4 linked regions of the Caenorhabditis elegans genome follow. The protein of the gene in region 2 interacts with the protein of the main gene of each other region in a pairwise test. Each region holds a gene or a part of one and is shown on either strand. Other genes may lie near its edges. The genes, in order: unc-101, mig-5, pry-1 and dpff-1.

What was found.
Region 1: the proteins of mig-5 (region 2) and unc-101 interact in a two-hybrid assay, tested with the Caenorhabditis elegans proteins (3 studies listed by BioGRID).
Region 3: the proteins of mig-5 (region 2) and pry-1 interact in binary tests that used the Caenorhabditis elegans proteins (3 or more experiments, as listed by UniProt).
Region 4: the proteins of mig-5 (region 2) and dpff-1 interact in a two-hybrid assay, tested with the Caenorhabditis elegans proteins (2 studies listed by BioGRID).

Annotation. Positions count from the first base shown.
Region 1 is NC_003279.8:12,506,768-12,513,955, reverse strand, and holds unc-101 (AP-1 complex subunit mu-1-I), read right to left. Parts: upstream 5,658-7,188; 5' UTR 5,402-5,657; coding exon 5,360-5,401; intron 5,306-5,359; coding exon 5,149-5,305; intron 4,468-5,148; coding exon 4,269-4,467; intron 3,670-4,268; coding exon 3,398-3,669; intron 3,174-3,397; coding exon 3,044-3,173; intron 2,010-3,043; coding exon 1,640-2,009; intron 1,154-1,639; coding exon 1,055-1,153; 3' UTR 536-1,054; downstream 1-535. Other genes in the region: mter-4 (Mitochondrial transcription termination factor family protein), read right to left, coding at 39-126, 303-437; asah-1 (Acid ceramidase subunit beta), read right to left, coding at 6,445-6,654, 6,866-7,059. UniProt on the Caenorhabditis elegans protein: Component of the adaptor complexes which link clathrin to receptors in coated vesicles. Clathrin-associated protein complexes are believed to interact with the cytoplasmic tails of membrane proteins, leading to their selection and concentration.
Region 2 is NC_003280.10:8,181,791-8,187,010, reverse strand, and holds mig-5 (Segment polarity protein dishevelled homolog mig-5), read left to right. Parts: upstream 1-1,987; 5' UTR 1,988-2,002; coding exon 2,003-2,041; intron 2,042-2,107; coding exon 2,108-2,256; intron 2,257-2,310; coding exon 2,311-2,464; intron 2,465-2,505; coding exon 2,506-2,581; intron 2,582-2,633; coding exon 2,634-3,111; intron 3,112-3,153; coding exon 3,154-3,276; intron 3,277-3,322; coding exon 3,323-3,648; intron 3,649-3,696; coding exon 3,697-4,221; intron 4,222-4,371; coding exon of another isoform or gene 4,372-4,384; coding exon 4,385-4,533; 3' UTR 4,534-4,688; downstream 4,689-5,220. Other genes in the region: cct-1 (T-complex protein 1 subunit alpha), read right to left, coding at 1-626, 672-977, 1,022-1,445, 1,490-1,565; dylt-3 (DYnein Light chain (Tctex type)), read right to left, coding at 4,702-5,141, 5,187-5,193. UniProt on the Caenorhabditis elegans protein: Plays a role in the signal transduction pathways mediated by multiple Wnt genes. Functions redundantly with other dishevelled family members throughout development.
Region 3 is NC_003279.8:14,173,348-14,181,151, forward strand, and holds the start of pry-1 (Axin-like protein pry-1), read right to left. Parts: upstream 6,014-7,804; 5' UTR 6,010-6,013; coding exon 5,905-6,009; intron 5,009-5,904; coding exon 4,946-5,008; intron 4,887-4,945; coding exon 4,797-4,886; intron 4,752-4,796; coding exon 4,614-4,751; intron 4,164-4,613; exon of another isoform or gene 4,091-4,163; intron 3,849-4,090; coding exon 3,667-3,848; intron 3,620-3,666; coding exon 3,488-3,619; intron 2,866-3,487; coding exon 2,637-2,865; intron 1,914-2,636; coding exon 1,733-1,913; intron 813-1,732; coding exon 390-812; intron 227-389; coding exon 127-226; intron 1-126. UniProt on the Caenorhabditis elegans protein: Works in parallel with axl-1 in negatively regulating bar-1 signaling in vulval precursor cells and Q neuroblasts. Inhibits Wnt signaling, which affects tissue specific expression of Hox genes, egl-5, lin-39 and mab-5.
Region 4 is NC_003281.10:5,903,043-5,907,798, forward strand, and holds dpff-1 (Zinc finger protein dpff-1), read right to left. Parts: upstream 3,081-4,756; 5' UTR 3,074-3,080; coding exon 2,991-3,073; intron 2,865-2,990; coding exon 2,611-2,864; intron 2,573-2,610; coding exon of another isoform or gene 2,561-2,572; coding exon 2,355-2,560; intron 2,306-2,354; coding exon 2,203-2,305; intron 1,411-2,202; coding exon 1,321-1,410; intron 1,274-1,320; coding exon 1,041-1,273; intron 990-1,040; coding exon 840-989; 3' UTR 521-839; downstream 1-520. Other genes in the region: ER lumen protein-retaining receptor erd-2.2, read left to right, coding at 4,016-4,207, 4,252-4,494. UniProt on the Caenorhabditis elegans protein: Probable transcription factor, involved in meiosis and stress protection.

The sequences.
Region 1 (7,188 bases), on a different chromosome or scaffold from region 2:
TTTCAAATTTTTCACTAAAAAAAATTAGCAAAACCTACCATTTTCCAAAAGTTTTTCGAAAACTTTTGCCGATTCCTGTCTGGCAAAGGAATCTCGACCGGGAATCACAAAATGTGTGCCAGTTTTCTGGAAAAAATTGAATTAGAGTTGGAAATTTGAATTTCCCGCTAATGCAAATGCGCTCCAATGCAAAAAAAAGTCCAAAATTAGGGCAAAAATTCAAATTTCGCGCCATAAAAGCGTGATGCAAGTGTGCCCCAATGCTAAATCTTCAAAATTTTCAAATTCCCGCTTTGCCGAACCTTCAAATCGTCCACAATTCGATCCATCAACGCATTTGGCGCAAAAGTCCGCAAAGTGTCGTCAGATGTGGTGCATTGACGCGAAAATGCAGAAATTCGCAAATTTCGACGAAAAATCGGCAACAATCGGCGCATTTTCTGGCAATTTTTTGCATTTTTTTCAGTGATTTTTCTGGAAATTTAGACAATTTTTGAAATGGAATTTTTAGCCCCCGGAAAACATTTTGTAAACAATTATGACAGAAAATTTATTGATTTACTGAAAAAAGGAAAACGGGAAAAATTGATGAGGATCCATGTGGTGAGAAAATTATGCTGGTGGGAAAGGGAAAAAACTCGTTTTTCTGGAAAAAATCTAAATTATGCGATAAAAATCAATAAATAAATCGGTGGGAAAAATAAAATAAAAATTTTCGAACAAAAAAAAATAGAGTTCGGGGTCATCAGGGGAAAGAGCACACACAACACATGTTTTGAGCCGGGGAGCAGCTCGCGGAGCATTAAATTTTCACAGAAAAAATTGGAGATGTTTGACATTAAAAGAGGCAAAAATTGATGGAAAACGGGGCCGTGGCCTAGGATTTTCGAAAAGTTAGGCCACCACTGGAAGCATGGTGGCCTAGACCTCCAAATTTTCCAAAAACTCGGCCACGGTCGTTTTTCACCAATTTTTCATAAAAAATTCCAAAAATTAAGAGTAAAATTGGGAATAAAATACAATAAAATATGAATTTAGGTAATTTTTTCAGGAATTATTTCATCCGCATCTCGTATTCTCCATTTTGAGTAATGTAGCGGACCCACGGCAATGCTTGATATCCACTTTTCTCGATGATTTTCAGATAACGGACCTGAAAATTTGAAAATTAGGGTTTACTTGGTGGAATTTATGGGAAAAATTGAATTTTCAAGCCTTTTTTTTAGAAGATTTTATCACCCTTAAACACCAAAAAATCACATAATTCTCAATTTTGAGCCGTTTTCTCCGTGGAGCGCACTTGCAATATGTGGTAGGCGGGAAATTTGAATTTTTGAGTTAAAAAGTCAAATGTTAGGTTTTTTCGAGAAATTTGCATCATCTTGACGCAAAAAAATCACAAAAATCTGCATTTTGAGCAGTTTTATCCGTGGAGCGCGCTTGCAACATGCGGTCGGCGGGAAATTCAAATAATCTAGTTGAAAAGTCGGATTTTTAAATAATATCATGTGTTTAAATGAAATTTTCAGCATTTTAGAGCGAAAAAATTACATAAATCTCAAAATTGGGCAGTTTTTGGCGGTGGGAAATTTGAATTTTTGAGCTAAAAAGTCGAATTTTAAGCGAAAAATTCGGCTACCTGAATGCCGCTGGTCGTAAAATACGGAATTTCAAATTTGACTTTAATCGGCGGCCGTCCTTCAGACTCTTCACTCATCACAGACGGTAGAGATAGATGGGCGGTCAAAAGGTACTCTTTTCCGCCGGGAAAATTCTTAATAGTCCATACGAAGGCCGATTGCTCGGGCGTATACTTCACCGAACCGATGCTTGTCTTGAATTTCGGTGAATCAGCGTCCGACGGGACTGGAATAATGATTTCCACGTTATTAGCAGTGGAGCGCCGTTTGAATTGTGATTTCGCTTTGATTATAAACGAGACACGGCTGTGACTGTGACGTTCGATGCTTGTCTCGATCCAGATCAGCGGCTTCACCACGGTTGTTAATCTGAAAAAAAACGGTATTTTTCGAGAATTTTCAGGAAAAATTGGAGCTTTTTGAGGTAAAAATCGAGTTTTTCGACACAAAATTGAGGCATGGCCTGACTTTTTACCTGAAAACCTAGGCCACGCATGTAAATTTGCTTTTTTTTTATTTTTCAGTGTTTTCAAGCTAAATTTGGCCTAGTGATCAACTTTTTAGACTCAAAATTAAGGTGTGGCCTAATTTTCTACCCGAAAACCTAGGCCGCAGGTGTATTTGACTTATTTTTTAAGAAAAACCAACAATTTTGATCCAGACACACAGTTTTCAGCAAAAAATAGAGTTCGGCAACGAACTGATCAGTGGTGGCCTAACTTTTGCGAGAAACTAGGCCACGAGTGGAAATTTGCATGTTACGTGTTCCATTTGTTACAGTTTTAACGTGTTTTTACAGAAAAATCGAGCTATTGTAGTAAAGAAGCCGAGTTTTTAGCCAAAAAATAGAGTTCGGCCATGAATTGGCCAGTGGTGGCCTAACTTTCTTGTAAAATCTAGGCCACGTATGCAAATTTGTATTTTTCTAGAATTTTTCATGTTACTGAGCTCTTCTTCGTCTGAATAACGAGTTTTTTGACCTAAAAGAACCCAAAAACAGGAATCGGCCTTTGGTGGCCTAGTTTTTTCCGGAAAACCCTAGGCCACGTAAGCAAATTTGTATTTTCTACACCTTATAATTGTTTTTCGAGCGTTTTTGGCATAAAAAAGCAGAAATTAACTCGAAATTACAACTCGGCCACGAACTAGGCTATGGTGGCCTAACTTCCAAAAAACCTAGGCCACGTGGGTAAATTGGCATTTCCTAGGATTTTCTGGCATTTTCAGCTTTCAAATCGAGTATTTAAGCCAAAAAATAGACAAAATCAAACTTCGGCCACAGATTAGAAGTCGGTGGCCTAACTTTTCGAAAAAACTAGGCCACATCACTGAATTTCCGTCAAAATCATGCGAAAAACTCGATTTTTCGGTTAAAAATCCGATTTTCTCCACTTTTTTCGTACCGATAGCTCATAAGCTCAAATGCTCCGTCGGGCGGTATGAAGGAGATCGTTCGATCCGTGTCAAAACGCGACAGGCGTACACATTGATGAAATTTCACGTCTTCCAGTTCCACAGATTTGCTTTTTCCGCCTGAAAATCGAGAATTATCAATGGGGCGCGATTGTAGCGGTAGGAAGTTTGAATTTCAAGTTGCAAACGCGCTCCATTGCAAAAATTTAAAAAAAGTCGCATTGGAGCGCAATTGAAAAACGCTAAAAACTTTAAAATTGTTGAATTTTAACAAAATTTTATCGATTTTAGGGTAAAATTGCCTGAAAAATCTCAATTTTCGCATAAAATTCGAAAAAACTCACGTCCACTGCCCTCAAAAAGTACTTTATCGTTAAGACCCAGCCGAAGTTCAGGCATTCCGGTAAGATAGACACGCATTTTAACGCTTCCAACAATTTCCGATTGAAGTACGGTACCGTTGGCGCTGGCCAACATGTTCACACTTTCGATTACGTCCAGGAAAACCTCGTTTTTTCGGTATTTTATGCCTTCAGAGCGCCATGAGACGGCATTTGTCACTGCCATCGGGGGACGGGGTGCCGAAATTAGTTTTTGACCTTCTTGTGTGATGTATCTGCAAAAAATTGGGGGGTTTTTTGATTGAAAATTGAGGAAAAATCGATGATAATTTTGCACAAAAATTCAAATTTTCGAGTCGAAAAACACATTTTGAACAGGAAAATTGCGCTCCAATGTGAACTTTTGCGATTTTTGCATTGAAGCGCGTTTGCTGCATGTTGAATGCGAGAAAATTGAAATTTTCAATGAAAATTCAAATTTCCCAGCTGCAACCGCGCTACAGTGCAAATAATCGCAGTGGAGCGCGTTTGCAAATAGAAATTCAAATTTTCGAGACAAAAGACACATTTTGAACAGGAAAATTTGAATTTTTGAATTCCCCGCCACTGCAAATGCGCTCCAATGTAAATTTTTTGCGATTTTTGCATTAGAGCGCATTTGTGATTGGAAATTCAAAATTTTAGGGTCGAAAATACATATTTTGACCCAAAATTTAAAATTACTGCTATCGCGCGCTGCAAATGCGCTCCAACGCTAATATTTGGCTATTTTCGCATTGGAGCGCATTTGCAGCAGAAAATGAAACGATTTTTCGTGCGGGAAATTCGAATTTTTGAGTAATTTTTTTCAATTTTTCTCGTTTTTCCTCCTTACTCTTGTAGAATTCGACTCTCAGTCGTCTGTGGGAACCCGAAATCCATCATTTCGTCCAAAAGTTCATAGATAACGACAAAATTGTCGCGAACCGACTCCTCTTCGACATCTTTGAAATATTCGGAGAAAACTTCGACGCATTTGTACAAAAATGACAAAATCATTGTGACGTTGACGTTTGAACGGCATGCTGAGACCACTGAAATGAGGGAAATTTGAATTTTTGACTGGAAATTCTGGAGAAAATGACTGAAAATCCGTTAAAAATGGGTGTTTTATCATTGGAGCGCGCTTGCACCCGCTGTCGGCGGGAAAATTTCCGGAAATTTACAATTCTGGCTCAAAAATCGTGAAAATATGTCGAAAAAGTGTGAAAAATGACGAATTTTTCGCAATTTATCGACTTTCTGGCAGAAAAGCTTGATTTTTGAAACAATTTTGCTCCTTTTTTAAGATTTTTACCACATTTCAAATAAACTACAAAATGGAAAAATTACGAAAATCGCAGTTTTATTGATTTTAGTCAATTTTTACGAATATTCGGCTTTTTTTGAATTTTAGCACTCGGGAATTCAGAAAATCAAGGAATTTTTGAATTTTTCTGACTTTAAAATCAAAAAATTGAATTTTTTTGGGTTTTCCGTTATTTTCAAGGGATTTTGTTACTTTTCACTGTTTTTCAACTCATTTTTTAGTTTTAAAACGTTATTTTCAATTTGAAAATGTTAAAAACCACAAAAAATTGCACTTTTTATCGGTTTTTGGCTTGAAAATTCAAATTTCTGACCAATTGCGTCATTTTCAACGGATTTTCTTCAATTTTGCCATTTTTCTATCTAATTTTTGATTTTAAATTCAATTTTTCACACAAAAAACCCACAATAAATATTTGTGTGCTTGATAAACACGAAATTCGTGTCCTGATAGGTCAAAACGGGCGCTGCCGAGCCTTCTTCCTCTTTTTCCATGAGTAAATGAATGAATTTATCGATTGCCGTCATGTCGATGTCTCCGCGATAATTTCGAGAAATTATCGTCTGAAAAATGCGAAAATTGGCATTTTCCGACGTGAAAAACACTAAAAAACTCACTTTTCCCTTCAAATCCAGTATAAACATGGCGGAAGTCGCCATTTTCGACGATTTTTTGCGATTTTCTCGTTAAAATCGTCAAATTCCACGTGGCAGCTACTGGAAAATACTGAAAATCCGGAGAAAATTAGCGGAAAACGGAGGAAAATCGAAGAAAATGAGTGCAAAGATGGATATCGGCTGCTGGCGGGCACGCCCTCTTGCAGTCTGCAGTCTCTTCACTTTATATACTCTCTCGGCGAGTGACGGAGCGGCAGCAGCGGTGCAGGAGGCCTTGGAGACGGATTAATTGGATGGAAAAGGTGGAGAATTTGGTTTATAGCGGTTTTTTCGCGAAAAAATGGAGAAAAATACCGAATTTTGCAAAAAATCGACTTTTTCGTCGGAAAAGTGCAAAAAATTAAGTGAAAATCGACGAAAATCGGTTAAAATTCTATTTTAAAAATTCAAAACTGAAACCAAGGGAGCAAAATTTAGGTGTGCGCCTTTAAAACTACCGTACCTTATTTTATTGGACAATAATGACAAAAACTGGCAATTTCCGCCAGAAAATTGAATTGAATAATTTGAAAATTGAATTGAAATAAAAAAAATTTGTGTAAAAATACTGGAAAATCAGTTTAAATTCATTTTTCTAGTAGAAAATTCCACAAAACCACCAATCGCTACGAGACTCAGAAGAAATATTTAGGCATGCGCCTTTAAATCTACCGTATCCCATTTTTAATAAAATTGTGACGAAATTTGAATTTCAGGAGGAAAACTTGGTTAGAAACGAAAAAACGACGAAAAACCATAAAATTAGCAAACAATTATTTTTTAAATGTAAAATTCCACAAAAAGCAATAACTTTGGTAACCTCGATAAGTTTCGGTGCATGCGCCTTTAAATCTACCGTAACTCATTATTTTTTTCCAGCGGGAAAATTAAAATTTTTAATTTTTGTTTAAAAAAAACCAAAAAACTCTAAAATTTTTAAATTTTATGAAAATTTCGTTTTCAAACAAGAACCCATCAAAGTTTATTTACAAAAATGAAAGTTTATTTCAATGAATCATTGCGTATATGAGAATGTTGAATCCAATCTACCATGGATAGCATTCTCCCGGGCAGGATTGAAGGATGGTCTCGAAGCGAGAAGTCTCGACGGACATGAGGACGGTGTAGGTGGTGAGCTTATTCAGGTTGGTGCGGGATGACAAGACGTTGAAGATTCCCTCGAATCCGACGTTCTTCTGGGTCAACTTGTCCATGCAACGGAATCCCGGAGTGTCACGGTCGTCAAGGTAGAGGTCCTGGAAGAGGGAAATGTTGGATAAGTTAATTCCGGATAGGTTTTGACAGATTTTTGATCAAAATTTCTAGCTAGGAGTTCGACCCACTCAAAAAAAGAAGCTGGGTTCAAAATACTAGACCTAGGCCTAGAGAAGGACCTCTCCTAAAAGTTGGGCCCCTAGATCCGTCTACCAGAACCTACTCTACACCTTCAACTCTAGCATCTCTCACCTCGGTTCCCTGATCGTAGTTGGTCTCCAACAGGTACCATCCGTGTGGGGATGTGGCCATCTCGGTGAGAAGTGCGGTCTTGTCGAGACTTCTAGCGATGATGCATCCCTCGTCCTTCTTGGATCCTCCGAGAATGAAGTAGACTGGTGAGAGCATTGGAGTGTTCATCAAGTGCTCCTTGGCGTCGAGGTAGGCTGAAAGCTCGGGATATAGAGCCTTTATGGATCTCAGACGGATCTAGCCCAATGGATATTAGAAGCAAAGATTAGGGACACTTGAATCTAAGCCTAAGCTTCCTGGAAATCAAAGCTTCCGAATTCTAA
Region 2 (5,220 bases):
GAGCTTTGGAGTGGTACGCGCGGAGTTTTGTCACTAAATCAGTAGAATCTCTTGCAGCATTGCTTGCCAAAACCTTCGGAATGATGAGAAGCGCTGAAGCGAATTCAGCAACAGCAAGCTGCTCGCGAGAAGACAAGGTTTGTGCATAAGTTTCAAGGAAAAGACTGAGAGAAGTCTCAACAGCACCTCCTCCAGCCACAAGTTTCTTGCTTTCCAGAACTCTACGAACAACACAGAGTGAGTCGTGAACCGATCTCTCCATTTCATCGAGCATCACATCGTTCGCTCCACGGAGGATAATGCTGCTGGCAGTACGAGATTTCGGTCCCTTGATGAGAATGAGCTCGTCGTCACTAATTCTTTCTTGAACAATTTCATCGGCATGTCCAAGAAGCGAGGCATCGAAAGCTTCATCTCCTTCCAAAGTAGCCAAGGAAACAGTCAATGTGGCTCCAGTAGCTTTGGCAATTCTCTTCAAGTCTGATTTCTTGCATCGACGAACAGCCATAGCTCCAGATTCGACAAATTGCTTCAAGCACAAATCATCGATACCTCCAGTTGTAAGAACAACGTTGGCTCCGGCTTTCAAAATTTTATCAATGCGGCGTTTGGTAATATCGAATTCTCTGAAAATTCCATAGCTTAAAAAGAAACGAATAGTTTCAACTCACTCTCTGCGAATAGCCTCAAGCTTGGCTGGATCTTCAACAACGACTGAAATACCGAGGTGCATCTTAGCCTTCATCAAAGAGAAATCGAGACATGCGATCTTGGCATTTTGAACACGAAGTGGCATGGCCTGACTGGCAACTGTGCAATTGAGTGCATATCCTTTCACCAAAACTGATTCGCGAGCGCTCTTTCCGTGGGCCTTCAGAACATTGACTGCATTGATAGGATAAGTGACTTTCCCGTTATTTTCCACACGAACAGCTTCCGCGGCATCAACAACCAGCTCTCCGAAGAAATCGGCGTCTCTGAAAAATCAATTTTCTTGAAGCATAGACAACACCAAACTCACGGTCCGATAATCTTACTGCTCATGGAAGTTTTGGCAGCGTTGACAACTGATTGTCTACCAATCGAGTCGGAAGTGAATGAGATGTTTTCACTAATGTACTTGACGGCTTCCTTGCACGCGAGACGGTAACCATTGATAATAGTCGTCGGATGAACTTTTTGTTTCACAAGCTCATCGGCTCTCTTCAAGAGCTCAGCCGCCACAATAACGACAGAAGTAGTTCCATCTCCGACCTCCTCGTCTTGCAGCTGTGCAAGTTCTACAAGCACTTTTCCAGCCGGATGCTCAACCTCGAGTTGTTTCAGAATTGTGGCTCCGTCATTTGTGACAATGACATCTCCAACATCATCGACAAGCATTTTATCAAGTCCGACAGGGCCAAGAGATGACTTCACAATATTGGCGATCGCAACTGCCGCGGTGACTGCAATTAATTAATGTATACTTATATTGAGCTTTCGGTGTTACCATTCTGAGATCTGATGCCTTGTCCAGTAGTTCTTTTACCGGTGAGGGCAAGAATGGAATCTCCAGCTGATGCCATTACCTGAAACACAACCGTATTAACTTAGCAATAGAGTAGGACATTCGATATTGAGTCAAAAAGGGGCTTTGAATAAGCACTCAAAAATAAAAATATACGTAAAAATGAAAATATTTCAGTAAAAATAAAAATGCTTCCAGAAAATCGGGGATCCCTTGAATTCTGAATCAAAATTAAAATTCTTGTAGAATATTCTCAGAGCGCATCGTACTTCATGCATGCTAGAAGGGTAATCGTGCCGAGACCCAACACCAGCTGTCACTAGGGCGTATTTGCAACATTGTTCCCACCCGCGATTTATTGCCGATAAATTAAAAATAAAATTGTTTCCGCTAGTCCTTTGCAAACAAATTTGTTTTTTTTGTTTCCTCTTGTAATTTTTATAAATATTTTATTGGTCTATAATTTAAAATATTGAATTCAGATTTCTAACATTTATGGAGCCGCCATGCACATCAGACTGCAGCCAGATAAAAGTAAGAATTTTGATCAGAATTGTTTTTTATTAAGCCAGTGATTAAACAGAAATAATTTTCTTCCAGGTCTTCTACTATCTCGACGATGAAACGACTCCCTATGTTTCTGTTATTGAAGCCAGAGAAGGAGTAGCGACGCTTGGAAATTTCAAAAATTCATTCACCAAGCGTGGATATAAGTATTATGCGAAGGAACTTGACCCGGATATTCAACGGTGAGTTTTGGCTTTTTTAATTTTTGTAATTATTCTGTACTGAAAAATGTTCAGAGAAGTTAAAGTCGAATTAACAACTGATTCGGATCGGCTGCGCAAATCCCAGAATGGATTTTATGAGATTTTTCTCGTTAGCACTCCAGGATATGGAACTCTTCCTCGAAACAGTGGAACAATGACGCGACCACAGAGAACTGCTCTAGATAAGGTTCGATTTCTGTTATTTTCAAAAAAAACTGATATTTTAAGCGCCGCCGACGAAGTGCAGACTTTGACGCGACTCCGTACTCTGATGCTAGTCTTGCTCCGAGCACCATTGTTAGCAGTGAGTTTTTGCTATTTATGTACTCTTAAAAACCTGTATGAACGTTTTTCAGGAAGAGCAGGAGAGCATCTGGCAGAATTATACACTTCAAATTCAGAGGATCCGTATCAATATGACGAGCATACACGTCGAACAGGAGATGATTCTTCGCTCTACGAACCTCTCGCTGCTCGTGATATGAATAAGATATACGATGACGATAGAAGAAGGAAAAAACAAAAGAAAGAAAGATTCAGAAGACCGTATGTTCCAAGTACTATTAGCTCAGCGACGGAATCAAGTGTTAACAGCGGCCTCCCTCGAATTCTGGAAATTTATCTACCAATGAAAAATGTTCCATATCTGGGACTGAGCGTGTGCACAATTGATGGTCATATATTCGTTTCCGAAATTGCACCAGAAGGTGCCGTTGAAAAAGATGGACGTGTGAACGTTGGTGATCAGATTCTTCAAGTTAATAGAGTATCCTTTGAAGAACTCAGTGGGCCTCAAGCAGTTCGTTCGCTCAGAGAAGCTGCATCCTCCAAAAGGTATTTTTCTACGCATTAGCATTAATTTTTTTTAATTTTTAGACCAATTACTCTTTATATCAGTAAGTTTGCAAGAGGTGCCCCAAGTGAATATGATGATCCACTCGCGTCCATGGCGTCTGAAACGATGCCCCTCGACGTTGGAGTTTGGGTAGAAACCGCTGTGTAAGGGTACCTCGCAAGATTTATTTTCTTAATTTGATACTTACAGGCAGAACACTGAAAAAATGAAAGCTCTGGGTTTGGATCCACAGGAGCAAACGGCAACTACAATTGATGACGGAACTCTTCCATTTACATCGACAGCTTCTGATGATGAGGAGCGAATGCTTTACGATCAACGTAGAAATGGAATTCCAAGAGCTTTGATTGAAGAAGCAGAAAGAAAACGAGAAAATGAGCAAAATGAAAAAATAGAGCAACTCACAGAAATGATTGATCCCATTATTGTTGTTCGTTCTATGGCTCGTCCGGATTCAGGATTAGCTGTCAAAAATCGAAAATGGCTGAAAATTTTGGTTCCAATGTCTTTTATTGGTGAGTACTGAACATTCAAGTATTAGGATCCAAACAATCAACGTTTAGGCCGAGATCTAGTCGATTGGCTCGTTGATCACATGGCTGATATTCATAATCGGAAGAAAGCTAGAATCTATGCTGCGAGATTGTTAGCTGCTGGTCTTATCAGACATGTCGTCAGCAAGTTGACATTCACAGAAAAGTGCTACTATGTATTCGGTGATGGAATTCTTGGCAATGATCGTAATTCCACGGACACCACTGGTACGAGTGGAACTACAATGCGAGTTGAAGCAACTACTGAAGTGACGTATGTTGGCTCACCAGCACCACATGCTCTGGCAGCACGAGTTGGAAGAAATATTCCTCATCGATTAGAAACCACTACTCTAAGCCCAGTTGCTCATGACCAAACATGGCTTCGAAGACGTCGAGATTGTGAGAGTCCTATGACAAATGATTACGCATCGATGGTCGGAGAAAGCCAAATTGGAATGAATCCAGTCGGAAATTATCATGTTTTTGGGACGAAAAATAATCACCGTCAGGTACCGGCACCTTCTCAAGTGACATCCTCAAGCTTGACAAACGGTGAGAAAATTAATCGTTTCTATAGGGTGCAGGAGTTAAATTTGAAGCAAATATTCATTTCAATTGATATAGTATTTGCTGTTTCTTGACTACTGTACCCTTTGTATCCAAATGACTTTTCACATAACAGTATTTCCCCAACCAAATTAGTTACAAATTCCAGGAAGTGGTGGCTTAGGAGGCCCTCCGCCGACTCCTCTATCCAGTACTATGGTTCTAGCAGCTTCTCCGATTCAGTCGCAGAACGCAGTCAACCACGATTTCGACGGGGAGAACAGTAGCAACAGCAGAACGCGTATTTTACGGACTTAAAATTTAAAACTCATTGCCTTTACCGATTCTCGCCTTAATTCCCACATGCTTTATTAATATTTAAAACTATGCCCTGTTTTCATGTATTTCAGTAAGACTAACGTTTTCATTCATTCATGTAATTTTGAGTCTATTTATGAATTATTTTAAATTTCTTCATGACGATGTTCACTTCGAAAAACGATGTGTGATGAAGAAGACTTGGACAGCACCGAAGATAGTTTTAGACATCCATTCCGAGTAGTATGCAGTATCCTTCGTAGTATCCCAGGAGCACATGTTGGCCGTGCAAATTGCAAGATTATCGGTTTTTGCAGAAATAGTACAATGAACCAAAAACTTTTTGCTTCCATTGAGCTTCACTAAATTATCCGAAATTGTTTGGATCATCTTGCTCATCCAATCAGACATTTTGAATGGAGAATATGGAGTTTTACCAATTATTGAATCAAATGATTTTTGAATAATTAAATCAATTTCTTGTTCTTCGGCATTTGAATAGACTTTCTTTTTGAGTTTCTTATTTTTCTTTTCAATCAATTGTCTCAAAAGCTGAGCGTTTTTTGATTCAATTTGCCGCTTTGCTACAGAAGAAGTTGTAGAAGTGTCTAAAATTTCAAATGATGTTGCATAATGTGACAAAGAAAACTAACCTGTCATTTTGAAACAAGGAATGAATGAAATAAT
Region 3 (7,804 bases), on a different chromosome or scaffold from region 2:
TTGGAAATTTGTTTTTCCAAAAAAAAATATTTTTGAGCAAAAATTTTTTTTTTCAAAATTTTCCAAAAACTTCCAAATCAACCTAAAATCAATATTTTCCCAGTTTAAACCCAAAAAAAAACTCACTGATGTGCTCCATTTGGCAGAGCAAAGTGCCTCTTGAACTCCGCCAACGTCATTGGTCCATCGTTAGGGACATGTGTTACCACAGGGATTTTATCGGTTCCTGGAAAAAAATTTGAGTTAAAATGTTAGAAAATATAAAATTTAGGGTAAAATCTACCCTAGAAACATAGAAAATCTGAAAAAAAAGTTCAAAAAAATTTTCAAAAAAAAATTTGTAAAATTTTTTTTTTCACTTTTTTTTGTATAAAAAAATGAAACCTTACCTAAATAGCTAATAGTTATCAAATTCGACAAATTTTTCCCAATTTTCGAGTGCTTCTTAGGCGTTGGAGCCTTTCTGTGCTGCCTCCGATCCTTATAATCCAGTGACGAAGTGGCGGAGAACGCCGACGGTGCCATAGACCCAATTCCCGAAGAATCATAGAATTGACTCGATTTGCTGCTCCCCGGAGCAAAATTCACCCTGGTAGTGGGCGCCGGCGCGAAGGAGTCCCTACTGTAGGAGGAGCTGGCTGAGGAGTACGATGGAGCGCACATTGATTGGCTCATCATTCGATTTGTGTCGATTTGATGGTGACGATGAGATTTTAGAGAAGCCGAGGTGTCCCGGGGGTAATCTTTTCGTCTCGGGACCCGAATTGTGTTGTGGAGCTGAGCGGGAGCACGATTGGTTGGGGAGAGGGTGGCTGGAAAATATTATAAATTGGAAATTTGAATTCAGCTCATGAAGAGCTTCAAAATACGTATAAACATGCTTAGGTTCCGTCTAGTTTGAAAAAAGTTGGGTCCCGCCACGAAAATTTGGGGCTACAGTAATAACTTTCGTGGTGAGACCCAAAAATTTCCAAATTTCACCAAACCTAGGCATGATTATACTTATTTTGAAGCTCTGAACGAGCTGAGTTTGAAAATTGACTGGAAATATAAAAATACTGGATTTTTTTTTGAAATTTCAGAAATTTGGGTCTTACCACGAAAGATATTTAAAATTTAAAACTTTTACAGTTTTAGTAATTTTTTTTTTCAGCTCGTCAAGAGCTTTAAAACGAGTATAAACATGCCTAGGTTTCGTCAAATTAGAAGATTTTTGGGTCTCGGCACGAAAATTTGGGGCTACAGTAATACATTTCGTGACGAGACCCAACAATTTTCAAATTTCACCGAACCTAGCCATGATTATACCTATTTTGAAGCTCTAGGTGAGCTGAGCTTGCATTTTGTAGTTTTAAAGCAAAAATGTCATTTTGTAGTTGTTGGTTCTCACCACGAAAAGCTACAACACCCATTTTCGTGGCGGAACCCAAAATCAAGAAAACCTAGGCATGTTGGTACTTATTTTGAAGCTCTCAATGAGGCAGACGTGATTTTAATAATTTCAATAATTAAATTTATTAATTTTGGAGAAAAAAGTTTTTGCTCAAAAAAAATTTCAAAAATTTTTTTATTTTTAATTTTCATAGATTCGAACTAAAAAAAAACGTTCCCTGACAAATATTTTTGTCATTAAGATGTTTACTAACAGCTATTCCAATTCTAACACCTATTAGTAATATTAATCCCTTCATGAGAATAACCCGACATATGGTACCGGAGCATGGGAACTCACTATTTTTCGATCCTTCTCCAGATTTGTTGGGCTCTCCTGCTGGGCCTTTAGGTGATCGATTTGTTGATCCTTTTTGGGAATCATCTGTCATTTTCATTTTCAGATAATCATCCAACTCCTCGTCCTCATCGATTTTCCCCAGATCGTCGTTGGGCTCCGTGCCGTTTACCATGTCGATTGTCTGAAAAATTAATTTGAAAATTGAAGTCAGCTTGATAAGAGCTTTAAAATAAGTATAAACATGCCCTATTTCAGTTGAATTCAAAAAATAATGGGTCTCGCCACGAAAATCCAGGGTTACTGTAGTCGTGGTGGGACCCAAAAAATCCAAATTTTGCAGTGGTGACTAGATAACTAAAAAAACATGCTCAGCTTGTAAAGAGCTTCAAAATAAGTATAATCATGCTCAAGTTTAGTTGAATTTGAAAAATAGTGGGTCTCGCCACGAAAATCTAGGGTTACTGTACGCTTAAACCAGGAATATTTAAATAAAACGGATCCTAGACATGTTTATACTTATTTTGAAGCTATGAGCAAAGTTAGCTCCAATTTATAAGTTTCCAAGCAAAATTGCAAAATTGAAGAAAGTTGGGTCCTGCCGCGAAGTACGATTTCGTGGTGGGACCCTAAAATTCTTTGAATTTCACTTTAAAAATTACAAATTCAAACTCAGCTTGTTGAGAGCTTCAAAATAAGTATAATCATGCCTAGGTTCCGTCAAGTTTTAAAAAATGTGGGTCCCACCACGAAAGGTATTACTGTAACCCCACATTTTCGTGGTGGGACCCAAAATTTTTCAAACTTGGCGAAACCTAGTCATGATTATACATATTTTGAAGCTCTCGGCGTGCTGATTTCAAATTTTACAAATTCAAAGCCTAAAACTCGAAACTGAAAAACCTACCGTATACCGACACTCTTCGATATCGTCAATCCTCTTCTCCATCTCATCATTTAGCTTAACCTTATCAATATGCCTAAGCAGTTTTCTGGTGATTTCCATTGCAAAATTTCTTCTTCCTGATTCAGAAGAATGATCCCATTGCTGACCATCGACGCTGGCTTTTTCGACACGTGGCAGTGTCATGGTACCGTGATTCTCGCGGGCTTGTTCGTCTCGGATATGGCGGAGTCTGGAAATTAGACACTTTTAGATAAAAATTTGATATAAGCTCACTGAGAGCTTCAAAATAAGTATAATCATGCCATGGCCTGAAAATTTTCAAAATTTTAGGGTCTTACCGCGAAAACTTTTGGTTTTTTTGTAGTAATAGCTCTCAACACTAAAATTTAAGGTTTTCAAAAAAATACAATTTTCAAAAAAATAAGCTTAATTTGGGTCTCGTCGCGATTTTTTTCAGAAATAATTTATTGAACCCTAAAAATTTGAAATTAAAGTTCAGCTTGTAACGAGCTTTCTAACAAGTATAATAATGCCTAGGTTCAGTTAAGTTTGAAAAAATTTGGGTCTCGCCACGAAAACCTACCAACAGTAACTCGGGGTTTTCGTGGCGGGACCCAATTTTAACGGAACCTGGGCATGTTTATGCTTGTTTTGAAACTCTTGGTAAGTTGAGCTCAGCTATCACAATTTAAAAGTAAAAAATCTGAAAACTGCCAAGTAGGGTCTCACGACGAAAAGGTTAGTGTAGATTTTCGTGCCGGGACCCAATTTTATCGGAACCTAGGCATAATTATACTTATTTAAAAGCTCTCAACAAGCTTAATTCAAATACATTAACCAAAATCACCTACCTATTACTATGCATCCTATGGGCTTCGGGCGTGTCCCCAGAAAACGTCGAGCTGACAGCCGAGTCGTTGTGTGAGGTAGTGGCGTTGCATACGTATGGTTGACGTGTCGGTGGGTACATTTTCTCAAGTTTTCTAAAAAAAATTCAAATTTAAATAGGTAGGGTAGGTAGGCGACTTACGTTTCTCCAAGTTTGCTGTGCCTGTCGTGTTTCGATTTTAGGAGGGCCTCAGCTGTGAGCTGGGTGGCGATTTGTGCGGCACTTTTACGGGAGGTAGTGCCTGACGACCTTCTCATGGTGTTTTGGTGTGATGAATGGTGGGCGGAGCCTCCCGGGAGCTGGTCGGCGGTGGTAGATGACATCTGGAATTGGGGTTTTTAGTTTTTGGGATTGGAAATTTTTTTCAGAATTGCGATAAGATACGTAAAATGCTAAAATTCAAATTCAGCTTAAAAATAGCTTTCGAATAAGTATAATCATGTCTGGGTTCTATTAGAATTGGGTCTCGCCACGAAAACCTACAGTAACCCTTTCGTGGTGGGACCCAACTTCTCGGTTTTCAAATTTTTCACACTGTGACTATAAAAATTCAATTTAGCTTAGAAAGAGCTTTCAAATAAGTATAATCATGCCTAGGTTTGGTTGAATTTGACAAAAGTTGGGTCCCGCCACGAAAATTTGGGGCTACAGTAATACATTTCGTGGCGAGACCCAACTTTTCTCAAACTTAACGGAACCTAAGCATGATTATACTTATTTTGAAGCTTTCAGTCAATTGAGTTTAATTTTGTAAATAAAAATTGCAAAGAATCAAAATTCAAAAAGTTAGGCACCGGAAAAATTTCGTCGTAGGACCCAATTGTTGGAAAACCCTAAAATTTTCGCCAAAATTCTGAAAATCTGAACTGAGACCGCCGATATTACATTAAGAATGCATAGGTTTCGCAAATTCTGTAAATTTTCCAAACAACCTCGGTCTCGCCAAGAAAATCCTGGGTTACTGTAGGTTTTCGTGGTGAGACCCAACTTCTATCAAATTTGACGGAACTTAGGCATGATTATACTTATTTTAAAGCTCTCAGTGAGCTAAATTCAAATTTTCACAATTAAAAAAAAAAACAATTTACCTTATTAAAAGCCTCAATAAACTCTTCGGAGCCCACAAACTCCTCGTGTTGGCGTCTTAAAAATTCTTGAACAAAATTCGAACAATGACTGAATACCCGATCCTCTAATTCGGTGCCATGACGTAGTTTTTCACCAATCCAAAAATTAATTTTTGATTTTAAAAAATTTTAAGAAAAGCTTACCGGAGCCCTAAAATGCTTGGGAATTGCTTCGCAGTTTCCGGTCCGAGAGGACAAAAATTTCGAGTATATTGACTTGGAAAGTTGGGATTTCTAAAAAAAATAGATAAATATTGCCCGATTTGCCAAAAAAGTTGCAAAAAAATCAATACCTCCGGTTTTCCCTCCAACGCCATTCGTTCGTATGCTCGGATTGCGAAGAACAAGTCGAGGTACTGAAAATTTCTTATTTTTTTAGAGAATTCGGAAATTTAAAGTCAATATTTGAATTTAGCTTGCTGAGAGCTTTGAAATAAGTATAATCATGCATGAGTTCCGTCAAGTTTGAAAAAATTGGGTCTCGCCACGAAAATGTGGGGCCACAGTAGTAGATTTCGTGGTGAGACCCAACTTTTTTTTGACGGAACCTAGACTATTATACTTATTTCAAAGCTCTCAGGATGCTGTGTATGAATTTCAATAAATTTAATTTTTATGGGGTCCCACAACGACAAACAACTACAGAACCCCATGGGTTGCGTGGTGGGACCCAACGTTTTGCGAAACGTGGTCATGATTATGCTTTTCCAAAAGCGCATGAAAAGATTGATTAAATTATGAGAAATTTATCTCGAAAATTAAAAAAAGTTGAAATTTTCGCAAAAAATTTTCGAAAAAACGTGAAATCGCAGACTTTCCTTGTAACTGGTCAAAATTCTCACAAAATTATGATTTCGCCTGCAAAACTATAAAATTCGAAGTCAGCTCGCTGTCAGCTTTTAGATAAGTATAATGATGTCCAGGTTCCGCAAAGGTTGAAAAATTAGGGTCTCGCCACGAAAATTTGGGACTACAGTAATAACCTTCGCGGTGAGACCCAGATTCTTTCAAGTTTGAAGTAACCTAGGCATAATTATACTCATCTTGAAGCTCTTGACAAGCTACATCCGAAAACAAGTAAAAATTTCAAATATTGGAACTTTGGGTCCCGCAGCAAAAGAAAATCTAAAAATTTTGCGCCAAAACCTAAAAATTTTCAAAATCATCGTAAAAATGTCATGATTATACTTATTTTGAAGCTCTCGGCAAGCTAAATCCAAATTTCGCAGAAAAATCCCAAAAAAAAAGTTACCTGAGGCGAGGAGTACTCAATAAGCCATTCCTGAAACGCGTCGAGTGCCGATCGATCGGATAGAACGGCCTCCAGGCTTCGCGCCCAACCGAGATGGGTCTCCATGCACCTGAAAAGGAGGTGAATTTTATGATTATGTTGAAATAAGAGAATATTCAAAAAAAAAAGTAGAGAAAAACTTGAAAAATCGAGGGAAATTTTTTTTTGAAAAAATTTTAAAAAAATAATTTTTTTGCCAAAATTTTTTTTTTCAATTTTTTGTTCAAAACTTTTCTAATGACGCTTTTACTGAAAATTAAACAAATTTTATTTAAACTTAGCAGTTTGACCCCCTCAAAACCTATAAAATAGGCCAAAACTATACACAAAAAAAAAAAAAAAAAACTGTGATAAGATATAGGATATACAATATATTATAAGCGTCACTATTCCCTCTCTAATTGCAAAAATGGAACAACTATGGGTGTCTTATTGTTCCTATCAGTGGCTGATAATCAAGGAATGAGGCCCCTCGCTTACTCAATGAATGGGCGAGAGCGAGAGAGTGGCGGGGGTGAGAGACGCAGAGATAGTGACGGAGAGTAATGGGGTGTATTGGGAAGAGTAGTAGTACACACACACAGATAAGACACATGTCTCCAGAAAGATGACAACGATTGATGAGTGAACATTGTTTCGGGTGCCCCCGGAAGAGTTTACTGGGGACGCTCGACCGGCTACCGGGAGGGGCCCCTAACTTTAGGGGCGTTGATCTTGCTGGTAAGTTGGTCTAGCAGAAAAATTTAAATTGAATATATGTAGAAAATTGTACGTAGATTATTTTGTTAGTTGACAACTTTTTGCTAGCTCTGCTCTCTGCGGAGTTATGGAGCTTTTAGGTTGGAACTGGGGGCCAAGGGAGGCTTAGAGGTCAAGTTCAAATAGCTGTAACTCTGCGGAGACTGATGCCATCAAAAAGTTGTTAACTAGCATATTGTAGGACGTTTTATAGCAATTATTTTGTCAGTTCAAATGTTTTGCTAGCACCATTGTGTGCAGAGTTATAGGGGTTTAAGTTAAAACTGGGGGCCAAGGGAGGCGTAGAGGTCAAGTTCAAAATCCTGTAATTCTGCAGAAAATGACGGTATCAAAAAGTTTCCAATAAATAAAATGTAGGAAAGTTTATGATAATTATTTTGATAGTTAACAATTTTTTGCTAGCTTTTTTATTTGTAGAGTTATAGAGGTTTGAAGTTAAAAGGAGCCTAGCGCCTCTTGAGTTCAAACCGTTATAACTCTGTGGAGCCTGAAGCAATCGAAAAGTTGGCTATTAATAAAATGTAGGAAATTTTACGGTAATTATTTTGTTAGTAGACAATTTTTTGCTATCTCATAGTTTAAGCTTAAAAAATGTTTAAAAAATGTGACGCTGTAAAAACTTGATTTTTTTGAAATTATCGCCATTAAAAAAAAAGTCTAAAATTTGGCCAGTAAACCTCAAACAACACAATTTTTTTAAGATTTCAGCAAAATTTCTTAGTTTAAAATTTCTTAGCCCAACAAGGATTTTAAGAAAACCCAGAAAAATGTTGTAAAACTAGTTTTTTTTTTCTTGGAATATTTTGAGTTTTCAAACATTTCAAAAAATAAGATTTTACCGTAATTTTTTTTAGATTTCAAGCCGAAATTTGGCCATGAAATGGTTTGACCTAAACCGAGTCTAAAAATTTTCAAATTTTTACGCCTAAAAAAGACCTAAAATAGTTTGGCCTAAACTGAGCCTAAAATAAATTTAAAAACTGGATTTTTCATATAATTTTCCAGTTTTCAAAGCAAATATTATAGTCCCAAAGATGGTCTAAAAAGGAAAATGGGTAAAACAGAAGGATTTAGGAAAAAGATGGGGGTAGGAAAATCAAGG
Region 4 (4,756 bases), on a different chromosome or scaffold from region 2:
ATAATAAAATGAATACAAACAGTTAATTCTCTTTTTATGAAACAACCAAAGTAAATTAAACATTCTAAAACGATAATTTTAGATTTTTTAAAACTAGATATATTACCCAGATACGAAAGTTTGCAATTTTCACTTAAAAATACAGTACCAGGTCTCGACAAGACCAAATATAATCTCCACGCCCCATGGTTTTGCAATTTTATTTGTTGTAATTTTTACTCTAAAAACCTATTGGATGTGACAATATTTATCTAAAATTAAACAATTATATATATTTTTAACTAGCTTAAATGAAAGAAAACTGCAAAACAGTGGGCCGTGAAGGTTACTGTACTTCTTAAAGGTGCCTATCTCTTTTCATTTGGATATATTCGATCGTTGTAAGACCTTGTATCGTACTCCAAGATGTTAATAAAAAAAATTGTCAATTAAACTGGAAAATAGTAATTTGAATTAGAATTTTCAATGTTCCGTTTGATTCTTTGAAACTTCCAATATTGTTCGAGTTTCTTCACATGTGTTTTATTTTGAATCATAGTATTTATTGAACTTTTTTATGATAAGACTGAAATAAATAAAAAGGACGAGGAAAATGTGGAAGTACAAAAAAGAAAAGAGCGAGAAATCAAAGTAGCAGAAGGAGGGGTGAGTGAGGTTTTAGGCTGGCTTTTTAGAACAAGAATTTTTCTCTATGTATGAGCCATTACGTAGTAATAATAATACTTAAAGTTCAAGTGAAAATGAAGAATAAATAATCGGATGACGGTGTGGGAGGATCGTAAGCAAACGGGTCGAGATTATGCAAAAAATATTGGAATAAATATAATATTTGAGAACCATTACTTCTTGGCCGGTGCACTCGCTTTGTCTCCGAATTCAACTTGACATAACCGACATGAATACTCATCATCTGGAGCTTTTTCGAGCGCCGGAGTCAGACAATAAAGATGGTATCCACGATCACAGTCGTCACAGAAGAGCAATTTATCCTGAAATCCAATTAATATTGCACTTTATAAATATAATAGAAAATATCTTACATCATTTTCACTTGTACCACAAATGGTGCAACTCTTGCACTCAAGACACTGCCATCCGCTTCTTTTTATGATTTTGGTCACATTTTGATTAAAATTAAGACAGGAAGGATGACCAGAACGACCACAATCATGACAACTAACGAGATCCTCTGGCAATTTTGTATTTTTGTTCATAAAAGCAGTGCCGCTGCAGAAATCACAGCTAGTAGATATTTCTATACTGGGAGACAATACTGAAAAATAATACATTTGAAAATAGCTTGGAATGCAAAAAACTTACACTTAACCAGTGGTTGACTAGACTTTTGATCATGAAGATACGACTGATGATAGCTTAAACCCGCGAGGCTTTTGTATTTCGCGCTGCATTCTGAAAATTATCAAAAATTTTAAATTACAAACGAAAGGACTTGGGAAATATGCGGTTTGAAAAGAGTATTTTCAAATCACAGATTTCCCATTATGCCACATCATATAAGCTTCCAGGAACACTCAGTACATGCTAAATTTAGTGCCTATATTTCTACAAACTTCCTCTCGATAGACCCCGTGTCCCGGGTGGGAGAGATGTATTTTTGATCAGTTGAGCGGTTGCCGCAGGATTTTTTACTGAGGTCCCTCTCGCCCAGGTTTCTTTTACAGAGGGATAAAATACTAGGAGGGATATAAGAATGGGATATTCAGGATACATATTGGCTTATGACTTAGTGCAAATTGATAACGAGAGGAAGGAAGCTAATACATTTGATAAGATCCACAATTATGTGAAGAAGTACTACAAATCACACCACTAATTATGAAACTAATATTAAAAAAAGATCATACATAATCTTCCAAAATTTATTTTTTAGACCAAATTTCCCATTTTTTTGATTTAATTTTCCTTGGATCTCTGGAGAAACATGCATAATTAAAAAAAAAACTAAAGCATGCAAAAACATAAATAATCTCGTGCAATTTCCAAGCATCCTAATTTTTTGAAAAATCTCGAAACCGAATGAATCAAGATACGAAAAATTAAACTAAAAATCATGATGATAGTGTTCCCGGTAACTGACATGCTGTGGGCGATGGGGGAGGCAAATAAGACTAAAAAGGACAAGAAGAATGGTGTGTTCTCCTGGGCGAGAGGGCTTCGCTAATCCGCCGTACAACCACTCACTGTCACATGGATACGTCTTCTCCTCCGGTTCTTCATATTTTGTTTCCTTCACTATGGAACGAGATGGGGTCAATCGAGAGACAGAGGAACGAGTTGTTGGTACCTAAACAGTCAGAATAAAATTATTTAAACAATTGAATAAATAAAGAAACCTTTTTACGTGACGAAGTTGCTTTCTGAACAGGCCCCAAGTTGCCTTTACGGCGTTTACGCGACGACCAATCATCTTCATCGGAGCCAAACTCGTCTGGAGAGAGCTCATCGTCAAGAACGTAGTCATCACGATATTCCTCTTTGATCTGTGTTTGGCGGGATGGTCTGATGGTAGTTGAGTCGTTCGAACTATCAGAAACACTTTCTGCAAATCGAACTACAAAAATTAGGTTGAATCGTTCTGATGCTTCTCACCAGTTGTTGGTCCGACAACTTGTGGAGTGAGATGATCAATTGCAACCTGAATAGACGGATTCTCACGCAAAAACATGCTCATCTCAACAGCATCAGATGGTGGCTGTGACTTGCTCTTCTTCCATCTCTCGGTTGCGAATTGAACAACAGTATTTGGATCATTTGATGGATACATGTGATCCACGTTGCGGGTTGTGAAGCGAGACTCTCGCTGGGCCGTAGCCGTTTGATGTTCATAGTATGGGAACCGCAGTCTGCAACTTTTAGGGGCTTAGTACAACCAAAAAATAATTCCTAAATGCTCTAAAGATTTATCATTACTTAGATTATTCAGATTTCAAATGGATCTTTTTTAAGTAGCCGAAACATCAATAACTAACCGTTTTTTACGATCCTCCATTTGCCGGGAATTCCATTTAATGCAGTTCCGCATCAGGTCCATATATCCGTTTTCCGAGATCATTGTCTGTAAGATTAGCTGTCTTGGATTATTTTTAAACATTTTGATAGCTCAAGAAATCGGGCGCCCGGTGTGAACAAACAAAAAAAACAAGAGAATGAATGAACACTGATCGATAAATTGGACAGCTGCCGATGTACGCAAACACCAACACGCGAAATTGCGTATTGTCCAGCGTGGACTCGTTGGCTGATGGACCTTTTGGCTCGAGTTTTCTTCTTCGTTTCCGGCCTAAAACGTTTCGTTTTTCAATTAAACAGTTTAAATTTTTTGCGATAATTGATTAATATGTAGCTACGCATTATGTGAATACCAAAAAATGGTTGAAAAGTTCATGTAGGCCTACAATTTTAGAAAATCTAGGTCTTTCGAAAACAAAAAAAAAACATTCGGTATTCAGAACGTTCGAACAAAATGCTCTATTCAAACATTCTAGTTTTCATAGAATATTTCCATGCATTTTACCTAGCGAATCGAAATGTTTGTTTTTTTGTTGAATGCAGGGTTATGTGTTTTTTAACTGTAAATACACGTAGTTTTTGCATTCAATGTTTAAAAATTTTGTCTTTATGTTTTAAGTTCCATTTTTTAGTTTTTTTCAGTAAACCTTTTTAGCTTCGTTGCGTTGTATTTGCATTTTTCAAAATTCCCACGTGGCACATTCAGTGCTGGCTTTTATTGCACTCTTTTTTGTCTGCGAAAGGAAAACTCTAAACCATTTCTGTTCGTTCTCCGGAACTTTACCGTCCATATAATATAATTTTCTCTGTTCCCTATCACTCTATCCGTTATCTTTTGATAAACAACGTTGACCTCGATAATTGAAAACATACCCATTCACTGGAATGAATAGGTGTTTTCCAATTCATTTCATATTTGCGTTTTCTTTTCTTTACCTGATGTATGTATCTAAATTCTCAAAGTATGATAATTTTTAGGGTCATCATGAACATCTTCCGTATATCGGCAGATATGTCGCACTTGCTTGCGATTATCATCCTTCTGCTCAAAATCTGGAAGAGCAGATCGTGCTCCGGAATCTCTGCGCGGTCGCAGATTCTGTTCGCTCTCGTGTTCACTGCTCGATACTTGGATCTTTTCTCCACATACATTTCTTTGTATAACACTACAATGAAGGTAACTTTCTGTCCGTAACAATTATAAATACAATCAAATTTCAGATCACCTTCCTCGCCGCTACGTACGCCACAGTGTATCTGATGTTCTTCAAATTCCGCTCAACTTACATGCGCGAGTCGGATACCTTCCGTGTCGAGCTTCTCATCGTCCCAGCTGCGATCCTCGCTCTTCTCATCAATCACGATTTCGCTCCATTTGAGTTGCTCTGGACTTTTTCGATCTATTTGGAGGCTGTGGCCATTCTTCCACAACTCTTCCTTCTCCAGTCTACCGGTTCCGCTGAGGTAAATCTGGAAAATAATAAATAATACAATAAATGCGCCAAATTTGACTTCAGCGTGCAAAATTTTCCCTCTCAATTCGACATGCCGTAAAAAAGTGTAAAATCCAGAGATGGCAAAATTGGAGATAGTACAAGAAAATTGTTGTGCTTAGAAATTGTCGTTTCTCCCGATTCCAACCGTTTTCCCCGTATTCCGAATTTCGCGCACATCTCCGCTGTAGTCCAAATTGATTCGTCAGCCTTTTAACTTTGCTAATATAACA